Diceros bicornis minor: one gene and its partner. The protein of the gene in region 2 purifies or fractionates together with the protein of the main gene of each other region. This does not show direct contact. Links are inferred from orthologs where the notes say so. Each region holds a gene or a part of one and is shown on either strand. Other genes may lie near its edges.

Region 1 (10,095 bases), on a different chromosome or scaffold from region 2:
ATTTCTCCTAGTAGGACCACATTTTCTCCTCTGACCACAAAAATCCCTCGAGGAATATCACCGTATTTTTTGCCCACATGAATACGCTCCACAGTCTGATGTAGCACTAAGTTAGCTATAAGTGTATAGGGAAGAAACAAAGATATTTAGTTTAAATTATTGGGTAAAGGTCCATAACTCAATCAATCAGTTATTTTGAGTATAATAGATTTAGCTAAACATGATTTCCAAACTTTCTAATTCTGGGAAAAGCTAAAATTTCAAACAATCTTCTCTTATTTCATCAAGACATAGCACGTAGGAGACTTTAAAACAATTACAAACTGAGAGAGTATTTGGAATTATGTTGCATTAACACATGGATGATGGTGGGAATAAGTTAAGAAAATTAAATTCCTTTATCAGTTAATTGCTAATATCAACATGGCTATAAGAAAACATAAATAAGTAGGGCACTAAGAAGACTCTAAAACCTACAGCTGCAGAGATTAAAACTCTGATTTTTTAGAAGTAAACAGTGTTTTTATGTTGTATGGGTATGTGTATGTGATTTACCAAAGATTTAACTTTGTTTCAGTACTTAAGATTCACTTAACCCAATGCAAGTATCCATGGATTATGATACAGCAATAACCTATTTTTCCACTGTGTCAGATAACCATACCTGGTAATCTGAGAGTAAAAAGTCAGTATTTACTACTTTTCCCTCAAAGTAGTCTGATGAATTTGACTTAAAATTTAGAACTTCAATCTGTTAAGAATAATTATTTTTCTTTTTTTAACTGGTATTGTCTTATTTGAAGAAAAGCAGATATCTATGCTCTTATCTTCTATCATTCTTACAAGTATTTCAATTATGTTGTTTTTCCTCATGCTGAAATTCACTGATCTAGCAGATGTCCAGCAAATGTTGATATGAACTGCGAAGTTCCTTCAAACAGAAGCAAATACAGATCTCTTTAGAAAAACGGTGGATACAAAACAGAGATGGAGACTCTTGAGTCTAATGTATCCCTAAGTGTAGTATCTTGAGCTTAATATTGAGGTCCCTCAAAAGCTTCAGGAAATGCCTCCTACCACATTTTCATCGGACAGGGAGGGATTACCTTCAGTGCAGCAAGTGCTTTGAAGAGTAGTTACACCCAAGCCAACATAAAATGAGCAACCTTTTCAGTGGATTGAGTTTATGTCTATCATTTGGCTCCCTCTAGTGGGGAAAATAAAATAGGCCAAAACACTGTAATCCTATGTTCTAGTGAAAACCAGTTTTAGAAATACAAGCTTATGAATACAAGCTATTGAACCACCTAATCATAATTTAGAAAACAATGATGTAATGACTCAAAACAGTATTCCATTATGCCAGACACGTGAAAAAGTTGCAGATAAATAAATTTCAATATGAAATAACACACACAAAAAAACAATGGGCAGCCCTCATTATCCAGAGTATAAGAGCAGTCTGTAACTAATACATACCAAATTGATCAATGCTTCTTAAAAAGCCTATAAGTGTCCTTCCATCTCGAAGCAGGACCAAATGCTTTTCTGGGAAGAGGAAAAAAGATCTTTAAAAAACACCTTCAGTGAGTTTACAGGGTAACAACAAAAATAAAGGTAATAGCAGTTTAAGCTCTATTACTTCCCCTTCTAATGTATTTATAGAGAAGTTCATTGGGAAATTAGAGGGAGGACCAAGACAGCTCTGGGTTTAGAAGATCAGTGGTGACAAGAATCAGAGCAGTGTCGCACAGTGGGAAAAGGCCTGGCTGAGCAGTCAGAAGCCTGACTGACTGGCTCTAGACGCTGATGCTTGACAGTTAAATCCTCTCAGTGTCATGTCAGTTTCTATATCTGCAAATTGAGACATTTAGTCTAGATAATCTTTATGATCTTAATTCTAGAATTATTTTCACCTCAACTTAGAAGAGGTTCCATTTAACACTTTAGAATCAGGGAAGGTTTTAAATAAAAACAATGCCTCGGACATGTCAAATGAGGATGCTGATAATAAGTTAGAGCAAAAATTCAATAATATTTATTGAGAACTATGTGCTGTTCTGGGGCGTAGACGTACAGTAGAGAATAAGACTCAGAAAGTCACCAACTTTATGAACTTATATTCCTGGTGAAGGAAGGCAAACAAATAAAAAATGAGCTATTGTGATTAGTAAAACGCAATAATAAACAAGATAGCAAGACAGTATGAAGAGACAGGGGAAGTAGCTACAGAAGAGAGATGGCTAGGGAAAACCTCTCTGAAGAGGTGACTCTGAGCTGATACTGAAGAATGACAATAAGCCAGTCACTAGAATAGCTGGCAAAATTCATTCATTCATTTCTTTAATACCATGCATAAAGTACTTTCTAGATGCAGACCAGAGAAACAAGACACTGATTCTTCCCTGAAGGAATTTAGTCTTCCTTGGGCTATAATTAAGAGCCACAAGAAAGCAAATCTTAATTACATGAGACTGAGAGAAACTATACCTAGCTGGAGGAAGTATCTGAGTTGGACCTTGAAAGGTAGTTAAGTTTTGGCCATGGGAAGAGTAACAGGGAAGGGGAAGGGGAGGGAAATCTGTAATTTAGAAAGGAGAAAAAAAAGGGTTATGTATCAATGTTTGGCTAAAAGTTGAGGGTGTGAAGGGAAATAACAGGAGACAAAGTCAGAAAAGTCCTGGGAGCACGCTGAGTTTGGATTTGACATCATAGGGAATAAGAAAACACTGAAGATTGAACTGGTAGGAAAGGGAGAGCACTTAGGAGGCTATTCCCAGAGTCTGAGACGTGAAGAAGAGACCTGAACCAAGGTAGAGATGAGAAGGGAGAGGATGAGACGACTGAGACTGTGCAGTTATAAGTGATGGGACTTGTCAACTAATTGAGTTTGTATACGTGGGTATGTGTGAGAGAGTGGGGTGCTGAAGAGATGAGGTAAAGATGATGTATGGATTTTGAGTCCCATGACAGGGAGGACCACTTAGGGAAGTTGGGAGTAAAAGAAGCAAGCTCAGGCTGCAAGATTATTAGCTGTTGGTGATTCTGAGGTGCTACCAGGACACCTATGTAGACAAGTCAACAGGCAGCTGGAAATGTAAGACTGGAATGCCAAAGAGGTCAGAATTAGAGCAATGTTGGATAAGTCCACAAAGAGCTAATATAAAACTATTTAAGTCCAGGAGAGTCCCCAGAGATTTAAAGAAAGAAGCTGGCCAAAGATGAAACCCGAGACCATCTATTTTAGGGAAGAGTAATAGTCGGAGAGGTAAGAAAATGAGTAAGGATCATTGTTGGAGAAATCAAGAGAAGAGAATTAAGAATCCAGTGGTAATAGTATCACAATGCTGCAGAGGGGCAGGAAGAGCTCAGAAGAGTACATCAAACTGATGCCTTTTAATAATGCAGCTTCAGTGATGTGTTGACAACAAAATTCAGATTTCAGGGATAATACAGGTGGTCTATGGCAGGTGGTCAGGAAGTAGAGACAAAATGGAGGTGACTCAAGAGATTTGTGGGTAAAGATATAGAAAAAGGGACGGGAGTTTGATGGGGAGACACAACTGAGAAAAAAATTCAGTTGGATAGACAAGAACATACATGAAGGGAAGGATACAGGAGGAGAAAGAGAGGACATATGAGAAAAAAAGGATATCAATAGAAGAAATTTCCAGAAGCAGTGGGAGGAAAGGATAATAAAAGACACAAACTGAAAGGGAGGAATACTTCCTATTCAAATGAGAGGATGGGTGAAAATACAGAAAGACAGAGGAGAGCGGAGGAAAGCGTGCGTGTGTGAAGGAGGCAGTGAAAGGGGCATACGAAATGGCTTCAAACTTTTCAGTAAAGGAGGGGGCTTGGAACCTACAAAGAAGGGGTTAGAGGACTTGAGAATAAAAATTATTTTTAGTAAAATGGCAGAATGTGTTAGGGGCCTCGAATAATTCAGATATATAACAAGAGAGGTGAGGGCAAAAGGGCATTCTCATGCAACTAAAATTGAACATTTCATTACACAATACAGATAGGCTTACACAATGCAGACACAGTACAGTGGTTACTTATATATGAATTTGGTCCAGTTTACATTAAATTTTCCTTCAATAGGTAAATCACTAGTTTGGATTTAAAAAATGATTTCAGACAACGATAAAAAGAGAATTTCATCATAGACTTACTCTTCAATTTGCATACATACTAACTGTAGATATAGCTGTAACTTGTTTGGAATTGTATGTAAACCATTTGGCAGCAATCACAAGTTAATGAGACAGATCACACAATTAAAACGATTTAAAAAATGTTGCTTGAGGAATAATTCACAGATGAGAGCTTAGAAAAAGGAAAGACAGGACAACCCTAAGTGGCTTCTCTTTTTTACAGGACTGAGCTCCTCTTCAAGACAATGACTAACAATAAGAGAGGTCTTCTCAGTAAAAGCAAAAGAAAATTGTCTAACAAAAGAAAAGAAGTTTGAGGTGACTCAGCCTTTCCAGAAAAGTCAAGATCTTGTCTGGTAGCGGTCTCTACTACCATAACCTGAACGTGCTCAAGACTCTCACTGTAAAAGAAGATTGCAAATGGCCACACAGCATAAAGCCTATGTTTACTGCAATTAAGTCCAATTGCTGTTGTCTGACTGTTTTCGTTTCTTGGTGAATGCTTTCTCTAAGTATTCTCATCCATCCACCCGTAACAATCTGGTACTTCGAAATACCGCAGGTGCAAGATAGTGGACCGGGGCGGGAGGCGCAACTTGCGTATTTGGGCCTCAGCAGCCGCGTCCTTCGGCAGCCGGAATGAATTCTACAGCTTGTGCCTCACCAGACCGGGGACTGGCGGAGGCTGCGAGGGGCAGGGCAGAGATAGTAGGCTAGGAGGTGGCCAAACGGTGTGTCCCGTGGCTCCTCCATCCCGTGGAGGATGTCAACGCCGAACATCCAGAGCTGTGCTAAAACCACACTGTCCCCCCGGCCCCAGACTCATTCTACGAGCTCCCTCCGAAGAGGCACCTGCCCAGGAGGAAGGGTCTCACCCCAGACTCCCAGACTTCACCCGGAGGAGACAGGCTACTCACTGTCGATGTCCTCGATGAGGCTGGCGGTACCGGGCATATAGTTCATTTTGAGCTGAGATAAGGCTGCAATGTATAGCGGCGGCGGGCCAGCGCGTGCAACACCTCCTTCTTCCTACCGCAGTCGCCGCCTGGGCGGGACCGGGACACGAACCCGGACCAGCACCAGCACTTCTGCCCCGGCTTTCAGCCGCCGGGGCCTGCCGGAAACTCCTCCATATTACCGCCACCCACTTCCGGCATCACGTGCCCGTCCTCAGGAAGAGGCGGGACCGTCGGGCGGTCCTGGGACACCCTTTCTCCATCCCTGTTGAGAAAAGGAGGAATTTAGGTTGGATAGATGGTGCGAAAATTTATTCTCTCTTTTAAGGAACACGGCGCCGCCCCTCATTTTCCCGCTTCCTAGACCCCAGACTCACCGACCTTGTTCCCTTCACTCTCAGGACTCGGCAGCCGAAGGGGCGGGACGGGGCCTCGGATTGGCTGTTGTCGGCCGACCCCCCCCTCACTGTTGTCCAGTCCTTCCCGGCCGCAGGCGCCTGCGCAATGGGCCGGCCGTGGGGGGCGGGAAGCGCTTCGGGGCAGTGGAGCCCATGTCGGCCTTGAGGCGCTCGGGGTACGGCCCCAGTGACGGTCCGTCTTATGGCCGCTACTACGGACCTGGGGTTGGAGATGTGCCCGTGCACCCACCTCCGCCCTTATATCCTCCTCGCCCTGAACCTCCCCAGCCTCCCATTTCCTGGCGGGTGCGCGGGGGCGGCCCGGCTGAGACCACCTGGCCGGAAGACTGCGGAGGAAGCGATGGCTACTATCCCTCTGGAGGCGCCTGGCCGGAGCCGGGGCGAGCTGGAGGAAGCCACCAGGTAAGCTTTGCGCCATCTCCCAGGGGAGATCCGATAGGGGAGTTTGGGGAGGTGAGGACCCTTGCGATTGATACACCTCCAGAGTTCGTAATGGATCGGGTTTCATATTTGTTTTCCTTATGAGGGGGTTGGAGAGACAGACTGGGATCGTGGGTGGCAGAATATGCTTGTGTTCTCTTTGCCCCTCCTCTTCTGCTGCGACCATAATAAATGTGTCTATTACCATTAAAAAAGGAAAAAATCCTGCGCTGGCTTGCTAAGCTAAGTAGCAGGATGCGGAATCTCTCGCCTTGGAAGGATGTTGGGCTGGGGGGACCTGGCTCTGCTTTTCGAGCTCTAACAGTTTATCCTGCGTGGATCATCAGGCCGGCTCTCCCCGAGAAGGGAGGTGGCTGCAGCCCCCGCCGTCACTCAGAACCCCTCCCGCGGATAAGGAACACGAAGGGAGGGGAGGAAGCTGAGCATTTAGCCCTTTGCCCTTAATGCTTTGCCCAGGACTGAATCACGCATAATCAGTCACCTTTACGCACCAATCAAAGCACCTTTACCTGGATTGTTTTATTTAATTTCAAGGCGACTGTAACGTAAATGTCATTGCAGCGTCCCTATTTTACGATTAAAGAACCGTTGGCACTGAGAGGTTAACTCACTTGCTCAATATACTCCGACCCTATAACATTTTTTTCCTGCCGGAAATACACTTCTGTTTTGTTAATGCGGTATTCCTAGTAGAGAATTATTGTTATATGGTGGGGGGCACACCTCTTTTTTCGTTCGGGATTTATAACATCCTCATTGGTTGAAAATGTAGTAGTGAAATTCCCATACGTTGCTGGTGAGGATGTAAAATGGTTCAATGCTTTGGAAAGTAGTTTGGCAATTCCTCAAAACATTAAGCATAGAGTTAACATATTACTTAGCAAGTCTGCTCCTAGATATATAACCAAGAAGACTAAAAACATATGTCCACATAAAAACTTGTGTACGCATGTTCATAGCAGCTTTATTCATAACAGCCAAAAAAGGAAATAACCCAAATGTCCATCAATTGATGAATAGATAAAATATGGTATATTCGTAGAATGAAATTATTTAGCTGTAGAAAGGAATGAAGTACTGATACATTCTGCAACCTGGAAAAACCTTGAAAACATCATGCTGCATGAACGAAGCCAGTCACAAAGACCACATATTATTTATATGAAATGTCCAGAATAGGCAAATCTGTAGAGAGAAAGATTAGTGGTTGCCAGGGGCTGGGGCATTAGGGATGTTGGGGATGATAAATAAAGGGTATGGGATTTCTTTTGGGGATGATGAAAATATTCTGGAATTAGGTAGTGGTGATGATTGCACAATTTTGAATATACTAAAAACCATTGAATTGTACACTTTTAAAAGGGTGAGTTTCATGGTTTGTTAGTTATATCTTTAAAAAATTGCATGAGAAAAAACATGTAGTAATAAAAGTTTAATTGTGAAGAAAGGTCCATATTTTCTCTGTCTAAATCTGGAAGAAGTAGGCCATGGGAGTTTAGTCCCATGTTAGAGTAGAGTGATAAAATGCTTGGCCTATAAGTAGCAAACTAGACCGAAGGTCAGTTGAAGGGAAAGAGGAGAGGACCGTTAAACTGATGACTTCTACTTGGGCTTGCTGTATTATTAAAACAAAAGTGTGTTTTTGGAGTAAGGTTAGAGAAGATAAGATTTTAGTATTATGCAGGGAGTTGTAAGGTATGGTTGAGTGTAGGTGTGCATATAGAGTGGGTGTCGGTGCTGTAGTAGTTGGAGATAAAGCTAGAATGTGTAATGGGCCTTTGTAAACCATCCCAAGAGTTTATCTTTCAGGTTGATGTTTCTGAAACTTGAACAGTATAGGATGGTAATGTCTTATGCAGCAGCAGAAAATTAATGCAAAAGTTATGCATGTTGTCACAGATGTGGCAAATTTTTTTCCCCAAATTTGTTGTTTTTTTAACTTTATTGTGGTTTTTGACATATTTTTTACATTTTTATATAATCAGATATGTCAAACTAAAAAAAAAAAGGGTATAGGAGCCTTTTAAAGCCTTACTACTCAAGGTGGCCCAGGTTGTCTAGTGGTTATGTTCCGTTCCGGCATGGACCTACATTGCTCTGTTAGCCATGCTGTGCTGGCAGCCCACATACTGAAAAATAGAGGAAGATTGGCATGGGTGTTAGCTCAGGGCGAATCTTCCTCAACAACAACTAAAAAACCTTGCTACTCAAAAAGTGTGGTCCATGGACCAGAGGTTTCAGTGTCATTTGGAGGTTGTTAGAAATGTAGACTCAGGATTTCCTGCTCCAGACTTACCGCTGAAGTTGGATAAGTTCCCCAGGTGATTCATATGCACACGCACGTTTGAGAAGCACTGCTCTATAGAATTGAATATATTAAGGTGATGTTGCACTGAACCACTACAAAGATTTGACTGTATTAAAGTACAGAAATATGGCAGGGAAAAAAATGGAAATCTACTGCTCCTTGCTTTCTTTCTTTTCTTACCTTGTTAGCTATACTTGCAGCACTGTAGTTTGATCCCTGAACTAGCAGCATCTGCATCACCTAGGAGCTTGCTGGAAATGCCCCAGACCTGCCAAACCAGAATGTGCATTTTAACAAGATCCCAGGTGATTTACATGTTCCCTCAGAATAAGTCATGAGAGAGAGAGAGAGACGGAGAGTGCGAGCTCACGAGCTGAGATGGTAGCCTCAAGCCGCAGTCTTTTACAACCTAATCTCGCAAGTGATATACCATCACTTCTGCTGTATACTATTGGTCATAGAGACCAACTCTTGTACAGTGTCAGAGGCAACTTCACAAGGGTATGAACACCAGGAGGCAGGGATCATTGGGAGCCGTCTTGGAGGATGATTACAACGGGAAGGAATGGGGGACAGAGAGCTCACTTAGGCCCCCAGGGTAGTTCAGAAGAGAGTAAAAGGGCATGCGTTTGAACAGTGTCTGATTGTAGACAGGGTTTTTTCAAGATTTTATTGTAAACATTTTTAAACAAACAGAAGAGTTGAAAGAATTCTACAGTGAATACCACCTAGATTCTGTAATTAGCATTTATTGTATTTGCTTTATTACATCTCTCTCATCTTTTTTTTTGGATGCATTTCAATACAAGTTGCATAGATTTGAGACATTTTCAAAGGTATATATCAGTTGGAAGTGAGGGATGCAGGAGAAACAGAAGGTGCTTCTGAGGTTTTAGTATTTCATAGGAATAAAGATTTCGTAGGAATTAAAAAGGAAGAGGAACAGGTGTTTTGGGCAAGATATGGTTTAGTTTTGTACCAAAAGAACTAATGATTCGTTAATAGAGGAGCTTAAAAAAATACGAAATACAAAGACTTGGTAAGGGTTTATGTACAGCTTTCAGTTCATTTCTGCTGGAAGCCAAGTTAGTCACAAGTGGTTACAATGTGCAAGCTCTGGATGCAATGTCTGCAAGTGATTAGAGAGAAATTTGTGGTTTTCTGTTTGTGTTTTTTGGTGTTGAAGTTTAGTCTTTGTGGCATCTAGGAGTTGTTTTTTGTAGGAGCAAAACAATAGCTGTGGGTTGGGGCTGGCCAGGTGGCACAGCAGTTAAGTGCGCGCACTCCACTGTGGTGGCCCGGGGTTTGCTGGTTTGGATCCCGGGCGCGCACCAACGCACCGCTTGTCAAGCCATGCTGTGGCGGCGTCCCATAATAGAGTGGAGGAAGATGGGCATGGATGTTAGCCCAGGGCCAATCTTCCTCAGCAAAAAAAGAGGAGGATTGGCATCGGATGTTAGCTCAAGGCTGATCTTCCTCACACACAAAAAAACAAAAACAATAGATGTTGGGCTCAGGAGAGAGATGGGGGCTGGAGATTGAGAGTCATCAAATAGAAGCATAACTGCATTACCAAACTGGGTGATGTTGCCAGGGGAGATCTTTGAGAGTCTAAAATAGGTGGCAGAGAAAGAGGGTCCAAAAGAAGACAATGAGAGAGAAGACTCAGAAAGACAGGAGGAAAATCAGGAAAGTCATGTGATGCAACCAAACAAGGACGCAGTTATTTTGCAGGTAAGTGATACGAGAGCTGAGAAGAAGCTGTTGGATTTGCCAATTAAAGAGATGTTAATGACTTTAGTGGTGGGAGT
Region 2 (10,246 bases):
ATTTTCTACAATCAGTGGATCTATACTACACTGTAACAATAGGCTAGGAAAGTACTTTCCAAATATTATAGGTACCAAGGTTCTAACAACAGTTGAAGAGTTTCTAGAGATTTATATTGATAATGAAGTAGCTGAAGGGTGAAGGCCTTTTTTTTTGTTAAAGGAGAAAGATGAATAACAGAGAACCAAGTGTCAAAGAATAAAGAGCTTGGTGTACAATATCAAAGCCCTTACATTTAAGGGGAAAAAAAGATCAGTGTGTTTAGACAAGATCTCAAAGCAGTCCACCAAAATTTAGAAGAGTATTTGACAAATTCTTGTTAATTACCATCAACAGAGAAAAGTAATCATTAAAAGATAACCCACAATACAAAAAAAAAAAAAAAAAAAGGAAAAGAACCATATGTCAGTAGTAACTCCTGCTGAGTCCCTAAGCTTTAGAAATCAAGGGAAGGAACCTGCCCCAGTTAGAGCAAGACCTAAGAGCGACCCAGGAAAACAAGGAACTCCATGACTATCATAACCTGTCAGTTGCCTTCAGGCCACAAAAACTGCCAGACAAAACAAAGGCTGCAATTTGCAAACCAATCACGTTTAAAGATAATAATTAATTCTCTAAAAAGTGGAAAATAAAAAATGTGCAATTATGAATAAGCCAGGCTTTCTAAAGGACTCTCAAACTAAAAAAACACATTACCAAAGACACTGTACACAATCCAGAACTTTTGGGGGAGGTCAAAAAGGGGACAGAACCAGAGTTATAGAAGATAACCTCCCATTCAGTAACCACAGAGCAGCAGAAACTGAACTTTCAACTACATTACTTTATAGAGCTAGTCCATGTATTATAGTCTTCTCGACTACATACCTTTTTTTTTTAATATGGGGGGGAAGGAGGAAGGAATCTGTTTAAGACTCATTCATTACTAGAAAATGTTTTCTATTTTGAGACGGTTTTGCTAGATTCCTAAATAACTTCTGGTTATGTTTATTCTGAACCACAGGAAGGCTCAAAGAAAGGACATAACTTAGTTAGGATCTCACAGCTAGGGATGGATGAATACTTGAAGAGCCAAGCAGGACAGTTTCAAAGACAAATGTACAACAGAGATGAACCACTTCATATGAGATTGCTCACATTTTTTTTTAAATTTATTTGTTTGTTTGTTTTTTTGTGAGGAAGATCAGCCCTGTGCTAACATCTGCCAATCCTCCTCTTTTTTTTGCTGAGGAAGACTGGCCCTGGGCTAACATCTGTGCCCATCTTCCTCCATTTTATATGGGACGCCGCCACAGCATGGCTTGCCAAGTGGTGCGTCGGTGCGTGCCCGGGATCCGAACTGGCGAACCCTGGGCTGCCACAGTGGAGCGTGTGCACTTAACTGCTTGCACCACCGGGCCAGCCCCTACATTGCTCACATTTAAATTAAAAAAATAAATAAATATCATTAAAAAAAAAGCTTACCTTCGATATACAAATAAGGTCCCTTCTATATCCGTCTTCTCCTATAACAGACAATGAATCAATTAGTTTTTTTCTCCATAATATAACCCCAAATAGTCCCAACGGAGAAGAACTACTTCATGTTTAAGATCGACTTATTTATTTTAAAATTAGTCTCTTTTGAACAGGCCCAGTAAGTCTCTCAGTCCACAAACTACTGTTACCAGTTTCTTTTGTATCCTTTCTATGCTATTGATGCATATTAATGTATATGCAACGTTCAATCCAGCAACATGCTTGTATCTACAGCATTTTTCTTTTCCTTTTTTTTTTGGTGAGGAAGGTTAGCCCTGAGCTAACATCTGTTGCCAATCCTCCTCTTTTTTTTTTGCTGAGGAAGATTGGCCCTGGGCTAACATCTGTGCCCATCTTCCTCTTCTTCATATGTGGGGCGCCTGCCACAGCGTGGCTTGATAAGCAGGGTGTAGGTCTGTGCCCAGGATCCAAAACCGTGAACCCTAGGCCGCTGAAGCAGAGCACGTGAACTTAACCACTAGCCACTGGGCTGGCCCCTTCTTTTTTAATTTTATTTATTTATGTATTTATTTTTTTCCCCCAAAGCCCCAGTAGATAGTTGTATGTCATAGCTGCACATCCTTCTAGTTGCTGTATGTGGGACACGGCCTCAGCATGGCCGGAGAAGCAGTGCGTCGGTGCACGCCTGGGATCTGAACCCGGGCCGCCAGCAGTGGAGCGCGTGCACCTAACCGCTAAGCCACCGGGCCGGCCCTAGCTCCTTCTTTTCCTTTTTTAAATTTTAAAGAAGAAAACCCTAGAATTAGCTTTTACTTTTTTCTTTTCAATTTCAGGAAGACCGGTCCTAAGCTAACATCCGTTGCCAATCTTCCTCTTTTTTTTGTTTTGGTTGAGGAAGATTGGCCCTGAGCTAACACCTGTGCCACTCTTCCTTTATTTTGTATGTGAGTTGCTGCCACAGCGTGGCTGACGAGTGGTGAGGGTCTGTACCCAGGATCTGAACCCTTGAACCCCGGGCTGCCGAAGCCGAGTGTGCTGAAACTTAACCACTACATCACGGTCACTGGGCTGGCCCCAACTTTCACTTTTTAAAGCCAAAATGTTTTAGCCAAATTTCTTAATTTTAAAGCCAAGGTCCTGTGTACAGCAATTTCTTCACTTTTAAAGTTTATCAAAGTTAGTAAGATAAAAAAACAAAATTTTATCTTATAGGACACTTTGTTTCATCATTGGGGGATTTTCATGAGTAGCAAATTCCGTGGTTAGTTAAGAAATACTGTCAAAAATGCTTAGCTTATTTTTAGAACTTTGTTGAAGAATTATGAATACTGAAACTATACTCTGCCTTAATGTAATTACTGTAGGTCTTACATATAATTTAAAAAATTTTTTTTAGCTTAAAGTGAAATGTTTTGATTAAGAAAGTACAACTCATATCATCTTTCACTTGCTGTGATAAGAGTGTACTTAGGTTTTAAACAGTTATGATGTTTTAAAGAAACAAATAACCATAATAGTCTGCAGTTCACAGCCTGGATGGGACCTAAATATTTTAATGTAATCAACAAACTACTAGAAAACCTTAAATGTTAGTCATATCAAATTGAATTTGTTGGGATAAAAAATTTTAAAAAATATTTATCATCTTGATTTCTTCCAGGAGTATTGCCCTAGCTGAAATATCACATGAAACTTTTCCTTCCTAAGGATTCAGAGGCTTTTTCTTGCCTTTCAAATGTCAAGTTATTAGTATAAGAAATTGGTAATCAACTGTCTTACAGTGGAAGCAAACTTGCCCAAACAAAACACTGTGCAAAGTTACAACTCACTGTAAAATAATAAAGAAAGAAAGATTTTGGTTATGCTCTATGTGCCATGATCCAAATGAACGACAACAGCTTATTTTTCAATTCAGGTTATTAAAGCTTGTATTTCATATTTAAAATAGAACTCCACAATTAAAATTCCAAAATAATGAAAGTCTGTTAAAAACTGGAAATAAAAGCTTGCTGGTAATAAATCCCTGCCCCAAGTCTTCACCATTTGTCTGCAATCCATATTTCACAAATTTATAGGTAGACCAAGAAAAGAAAAATGATTAAGAACAATTCAAACTAAGGCAACGTCTAAAACAGCTACACTTAAAAAAATTCTATAACTTTCTTATTTGTGGCCTCCTATATCTCCTCTTTCAGGAGGTGAAGGAAAGAAAAAGTAAAGCAAGATGATTTTGAAAACTCTGTTCACCTGAATTAACCGTCTATAAATGCCAAATGATTTTCACAAAATTACTGATTAAATATAACCTATGTATCTGTATTATATTGTAAAGGACATATTACAATAACAATCTTTTAGAGTTTTGTTAACATAAAGATTTCATTTCTTACTGAAATGTGAACGTCAGTCACTCACGAATTCAATCCAACAAACATGTACGGATTATTTTCTAAATGTCAAGCTTATAGCTGAATGAGTTCATTAAGAAGGGTCGATTACGAGAAAACGGGAAATTATATTATTTAAACAACGAAAGAAGCTTCAAACAGGGGCTAACAAGTCACTGAACAGACTGAACGTAACTTTTCGGACCCCCTTCCGTGCAAAAAAGCCAAAAAGTACTTAGTCTGATGGGAGCATTCAGAGGTGACATCACCAGCAGCAGAGCTGAAAGGAGACACATTTACAGGGTCTCGTTTCCAAAGAGTTCAAAGGAATCCAGTTAATACGAAGCCCTTTTCCTAAGTGCCTTGAAATCTTCTCCAAAACTCGGGAAACACAGCGTAGTTCGATAAAAGCCGGATTTATCCCCACCTCCTTTTCCAAGAACTGAAACTAATTGGATTTCAAGCTTTCAATCCAAATGACCTCTGCGAAGGGGGCTCTTATTTATGTGTCTGTTGCGGGGAGAGCTTGTATTTACGAGGTGTTTACTTTATATGTTATGCATATGTAACTTATTTAATAACCCTCGAAGCTTCAAACAATCTTTCAGGCATCTTTCTGACCCCATCGGCTTCGTATTCTAAAACACACCTGCAAAGAAGGCAGGGCGCCCACGTCCCCGGACCCGACCCCAAGCGACAGATTCTCCTCCAATCCTCCCCTCTATCGGCTTTTCCCCCTGTCTTGGGCCTACTTCTCTCGCTCCTCTCCCCCGATCCAGGGCGCCCCCGACACCCCTCTGGCGCCGGCCAGGCTATTCTACAGTCCCTGGCCTCGCCTCCGTCGCCCTGGCCTCCCGCATCGCCCCCCACCCAGGGCGTTCCGCGCGGCCCCTTTAAGAGGCGGCGGCAGGGCGAGCGACCTCAGCGGCCTGGCCGCACTCACCCACTGGTTGGCCTTGGGGCAGAAGGTGTACAAAGCGACCTGGCCCGTGAGATCTGCGATGCTGGTGATGTAGGGGTCGTGCTGCTTCAGGGCCGCTAGACTCATCTCCTGCCCAGCTCGGCTCAGCGACTCCATCTTGAATTCCCGAGCCGAGCCCCTCTGGCGGGGGCGGAGTAGCGGACAGGAAGGTGCCATCGAAGCAAAGTTCCCCCAGCTGCGTCAGCGCCCTCAGCTTCCGCCTCTCCGCGGGGCCTGGCGGCGGGGCGGTACCGTAGCTATTACGCTCCGCTGCGCCCACGCCCCGGGCGGCGGGTTCCGGCCTCTGCAGGTGTTAGAGGCCCCGGTGCGGTGTGCAGGACCGCGTAGCAGAGCTGGCAGGTGGAGGTCCAGGTTTCCGCGGGCTAAAACGTCCCGGCGCCGGGATCAAGGCTGCCCAAGAGCTTCCTCCGAGCTCCTTCCGGACGAGGCTGGAGACGGACGCCGGGCCTGCGTCGGCTCGCGCACGGGAAGGGCCCGTGGCCTCAGCACGAAAACCCCGCTGTGGCCCTGCAGGGCTCCACGGGCCGTGTAGAAAGCTCAGAGAAGCGGAGAGGGGGAGCGAGGGAACCCAGAAAGTTACCCCAGATCTCGCATCTCACTAGATCACCACCTTAGCAATGTCGTGTTTTTCTGAAGGAAATTTTTGAAAAAGGCCAAACTAACCTGCCTGTAACTACACAGGAGTGTCTTGTGCTGTTCACTCTTGCTGCTTATTTTCCTCGTCTGAATCCTACGGAAATCTTTCCATCCAGTCTTGAGAAGAGTCCGTGGAGGCTTGAGTTTGTCGTGAATCGTTTAAAGCTTTAAAAAGATAACTCATTCTTTTAGCAAACAGCGAAGAGCCTGGTACTAGCTGAAGCGTAAAACAAGGTGTGGAGACTATAGGGAGCTGTCGGGGGAAGAGGGAGAATCTCCCTCTGCCCTTTCCCTTAAGGTTCTTCTGGCTGGCCAAATAATCAACAAGATAGGTTAGCAGGAGAAAATAATACCAAGTTTAATAACACGTATACATGGGAGAAAGCAGGGACACTGCGTTTCTCAACACAATAGCAGAAATTCTCGTCTTAAATATCATTTTCAGCCAATGACAAAGGAGGATTTTGGGGGTGGGGGGAGTCAGTTACAGGAGATTACCACTAAAGCACAGTAAACAAGAGTAAGGTTTATTATGTAACTCAAGGCCTCACCTTCCACATTGATAAGTCACTAGAAATGAGCTCATCCCCCTCTCTTCTCCAAACAGAGAGGGAGATACCTTCACAAATGGAGATTTCCCTTATAAATGTAAATGATTGTCTGGCAACTCCTCGCAGGGTTATCCAGAGAATGTGGCCAGAGAGACAGAACTTCTGATAAGAGGGGCTTGTTGGTGCCTTTCCTATTGTAACATTTACCCTACGTTATCTTTACAACCATCATGATAGATCTGTTCCAGAAAGGAGCCACCATGTCAAATTCTTTAGGCAGTTAGTGGGGGAGGTCAAATGTCCTTCAGAGAAAACAACCAAGGTAAAGAGATAGATTTCAGGGTGGCCAAATCTTGATCTCCCACAGATCTCTGTTCCATGTACACTCCCCCACCCCCACACCCGGTTGTTGTTGTTGTTTAAAACATTTTCTTATGTTGAAAAGATGCCCTAATGGAATTGAACGTTTTTGAAAGAAAAAGCCCATAATATTTGTATTGTTTATGATTTTACATCCATTCATATCTTACATTTTTTGCAGAATCGTGTCAACACAAACGATTCATAATCAAAATTCGGGTGAGTTTATTATGAGCCAGGCCTGAGGACTATAGCCCAGGGCCTGCCTTCCCCAAGGAAGGAAGCACTCTTAAGAAGTGGGATGTATAGAGTGGTTATATACTGTCTTGGAACAAAGAGCATATGTTACATATGATAGGAGTATCTCTTTTACTACTGTCCTGAGATGCTTGGCTGGCACAGCAGGTCAGTGGTCACAAGGTGAGCACAGCAAGTTGATAATCAATCCTTAGTTTCTAGAAATGCCAGTATGGGGGGAAGTTACATCCTTATCTCTAAGGGCATCATTCTTGTCTTTGGTATGTAGTAAATGTTTAAAGCAGACATACAATGCATGATCAATAGGCCATGTGAGGCAGAATTAGTTTTAAACTAAATGGCTTCCTCATATACTCCAATATATCCTATTGCTTTTCATTTATTTATCACATGTAAGAAGTGTGTACAAATGCAGACAAGGAAACATGTACCATTCATTCACTGTTCATTAAGCAAGTATTTATTTATTAAACTTCTAATTGTGAACTGTTAGCCCTTGGGAGCTTCACAGACTAAGACAACTTCCTGCCTGTGGGAGAAACTGAAAGAAGTAGAACAATGTCAGGAAACTGGGACAATGCTAGAAACATTTCTCTTGAAACCCAGAGGATGGAGCCACTAATGTCATCTGGTCAGGAAAGTCTAGGAAGACTTCATGGGGGAGGTGATGTTTGAATCAGTGCTCCAGGGATGAGTAGGAGTTCATCACAGAAGAAGGGCAAGGGCTCCCTTTCATTTGACAGTCTAATGGTGAGGTAGGGAAGATGTGGTCATCCTCACTTGGTAGATGATTTCGTTGAAGCTGTGTGGAGAAATCACTGGCTCAAAGTTCCACACTAGTCAGGGAGGATCTAGTATTAGAATTCAGGGACTCCTGCCTTCTACCCCAGGGTCCTTTCCTCCACACTATGGCTGCCTTTCTTCCTCCTGGAGACAGAGCCCTACTCCCCTCTACCTACTTTCAATCTGTACCCTGATTTAAAAAGATATATATGTATTTTTTGAATAGGTAATACATTCCCTTGGTACAAAATCCAAAGGCACACATGAAACTGAATTTAGGTTTTTTTCTTTTTAAAAAGTTATTATTTTTTTATTGAGGTGTAATTGACATATAACATTATATGAGTTTCAGGTGTACAACATAATGATTTGATATTTTTATATATTGCAAAATGATCACCACAATAGCCCAGTTAACATCCATCACCGTACATACTTACAAAATTTTTTTCTTGTGTTGAGGGCTTTTAAGATCCACTCTCCTAGCTGCTTTCAAATATGCAATGCAATATTATTAACTATAGTCACCACGCTGTACATTACATCTTTGTGACTTATTCATTAGTTTTTTTTTCTTATATAGATTTCCTAAAGTAATCGAAGACATTTCCTTTTCATTTATTATTTTTGGTTGAATAGGGATAAACTAGTGAAGAACCCCAAGCTATTTTAGGGAGTTTTCATATTTGGAATAGAAAATTGCTTCAAAATGCTTGTTTGCATGACCCAAAAACATTAGTGTTGACTTTAATGCCCTATGCAGCTCTTAAGATATGTTAAAGAAAATGTGAACATTTTGGAATTGAAAATCTTCTTGTTTTACTTTGGGACCTATTTTTGCCTTATATTTGTGAATCAAACCTTAAGAGCTTTCTTGTGTCTTTTAGACAATAGGCTTTGAGAGGGCAGAGATTGCATCTTAGTCTATTAAGTCTCCAGTACCTAGTACAGCCCATGGCAAAGAATAGACTCTCAGTAAATATTGGTGCATGAATGTCATCTTGAAACTCAACTCCTTTAAGGCCATGACAGAGACTAGAGGGAGGGGAGGGGAGATGAGTGGCTGGGATCAGAGGCGGGAAAGAGTCTAACTCTGCACTGAAAAACCTGTGGTCACTTTTGAGTTGTGTTCCATGAATGTCAATTTTTTTAAAAAATATTTTTTAAAAAATAATTTAAAATATGACAATCTAAAAAAACCCAATCAATCCAACCCCACCTCTCTTTCATTCTGAGTGCCTTTGTGGTAAAAAACAAAACTTACCATTTAAAATCATGGGGTCTAGGGACTGGCCCAGTGGTGGAGTGGTTAAGTTCGCATGCTCCACTTCGGAGGCCCTGGGTTCGTGGGTTTAGATCCTGGGTGTGGACCTACACACCACTTATCAAGCCATGCTGCAGTGGTGTCCCACATACAAAATAGAGGAATATTGGCACAGATGTCAGTCCAGGGACAATCTTCCTCACAAAATAAAATAAAATGAAAAATAAAATCACAGGGTCTAAGGTAAAGGACACTAGAATACAAGTCAGAAGATGAGTGTTTTAGTTCCAAGTTTACCAGCTGTGTAACTTTGTCAGTCAGTCACAGACTTCCCATTTCTCTGGTGTAAAATCCAAAGTCCTTGCCTTGGCCTAGGAGACATTGCCTGGTCTGGCCTCCTGCTGTCTTTCCATCTCCATTTTCTATGAATTGCTCTTTCAGTGATTCTACCCCAGCCCATTGACCCCCTTGCTATTCTTGAACATGTGCCAAGTGAGTCTTGCCTCAGGGCCTTTGCACTTGTTGTTCCCCCTTTCTAGAACATTCTTCTCTTTGATATCCCTGTGATATCCTTTTGGCTCATTTCCTCACTTTCTTCATAGCTCTTATCTGCAAATTGTAATTATTTTATTTACTTATGTTTTGTCTATCTTGTCAGCTCAATGAAGCAGGAACCACGTCTGTCTTGTTTACTGTCACATTCTCAGTACCTGGCAGAGAGGCAAGGGCTAATAACTATTTGTTGGATTAATTGGAATGTTAGTATGTTTTCTCTTTATCTATAGCATAACTCTGAGAGAAGGGATGGTTGTTTAAACTCACATCTAACAAAGCATTTGTTTGTCATACGTGCTAAATAAATAATGATGCCTGATTTGCTTGTATTAACATATTTTGATTCATAAGCTCTATGCTTCCTGAAGCAGACATGTTGTTTTTAGTATAGCACAGAGCAAGCATTCAGCACCTTTTCAATCTTGCAGCTTTCCCTGTGTCCATTTTCTCTCCATCTCTCTGTCTCCCCTCTCTTCCACTTCTCACTCTCCATCTCCCTTTCTCTCTCAGATTTTGAAGATTTATTCTAGAAGTATCTGCTTATTACTGTTTGCCTTTTTAGGCAGAGAAACTAAGCTAATTTTCCCAAAGTCATATAATGATTCATTTGCTGAGTTGGGATTAGCATCTTCTAACCATGGCTTTGAGGTAGATCGTGTATCTTGCTACCATTCTGCCTGGCACATTCTTAAATTACACTGGCTACATGTGAGTGAAACTTGTTATCCTTGTGGTGCTGTTTCACTACTGATATTTATTTTACATGATTGATTTCCAAAAAGTTGTGGACTTACTATAAAATTCATTAGCTTGCCCTTACGAGATACTTAGGATGGTAATTCTTTCCTAGAGTTTTTCCAGAAAGGTCTCAGACCTCTGTATTTTAAAATGTTACTTTATAAACGTATTTTAAAAGGTGCCAGATGTTTTCTAGAATTATATTTCTGATACATGAACTAGTTTAGTCCATCAGTTCTGGAGCAGAAATAC

Evidence for each region.
Region 1: the proteins of DCP1A (region 2) and BAG4 purify together in Homo sapiens (affinity purification with mass spectrometry; 4 studies listed by BioGRID and IntAct, counting the BioPlex papers as one, with this or other methods). This does not show direct contact. The link is inferred for Diceros bicornis minor from reciprocal best matches to the Homo sapiens genes DCP1A and BAG4.

Annotation. Positions count from the first base shown.
Region 1 is NC_080768.1:34,794,110-34,804,204, forward strand, and holds the start of BAG4 (BAG family molecular chaperone regulator 4), read left to right. Parts: upstream 1-5,432; 5' UTR 5,433-5,667; coding exon 5,668-5,937; intron 5,938-10,095. Other genes in the region: U6 snRNA-associated Sm-like protein LSm1, read right to left, coding at 1-115, 1,480-1,548, 5,078-5,123. UniProt on the Homo sapiens protein: Inhibits the chaperone activity of HSP70/HSC70 by promoting substrate release. Prevents constitutive TNFRSF1A signaling. Negative regulator of PRKN translocation to damaged mitochondria.
Region 2 is NC_080741.1:53,867,222-53,877,467, forward strand, and holds the start of DCP1A (mRNA-decapping enzyme 1A), read right to left. Parts: upstream 4,970-10,246; 5' UTR 4,946-4,969; coding exon 4,811-4,945; intron 1,508-4,810; exon of another isoform or gene 1,507-1,507; coding exon 1,466-1,506; intron 1-1,465. UniProt on the Homo sapiens protein: Necessary for the degradation of mRNAs, both in normal mRNA turnover and in nonsense-mediated mRNA decay. Removes the 7-methyl guanine cap structure from mRNA molecules, yielding a 5'-phosphorylated mRNA fragment and 7m-GDP.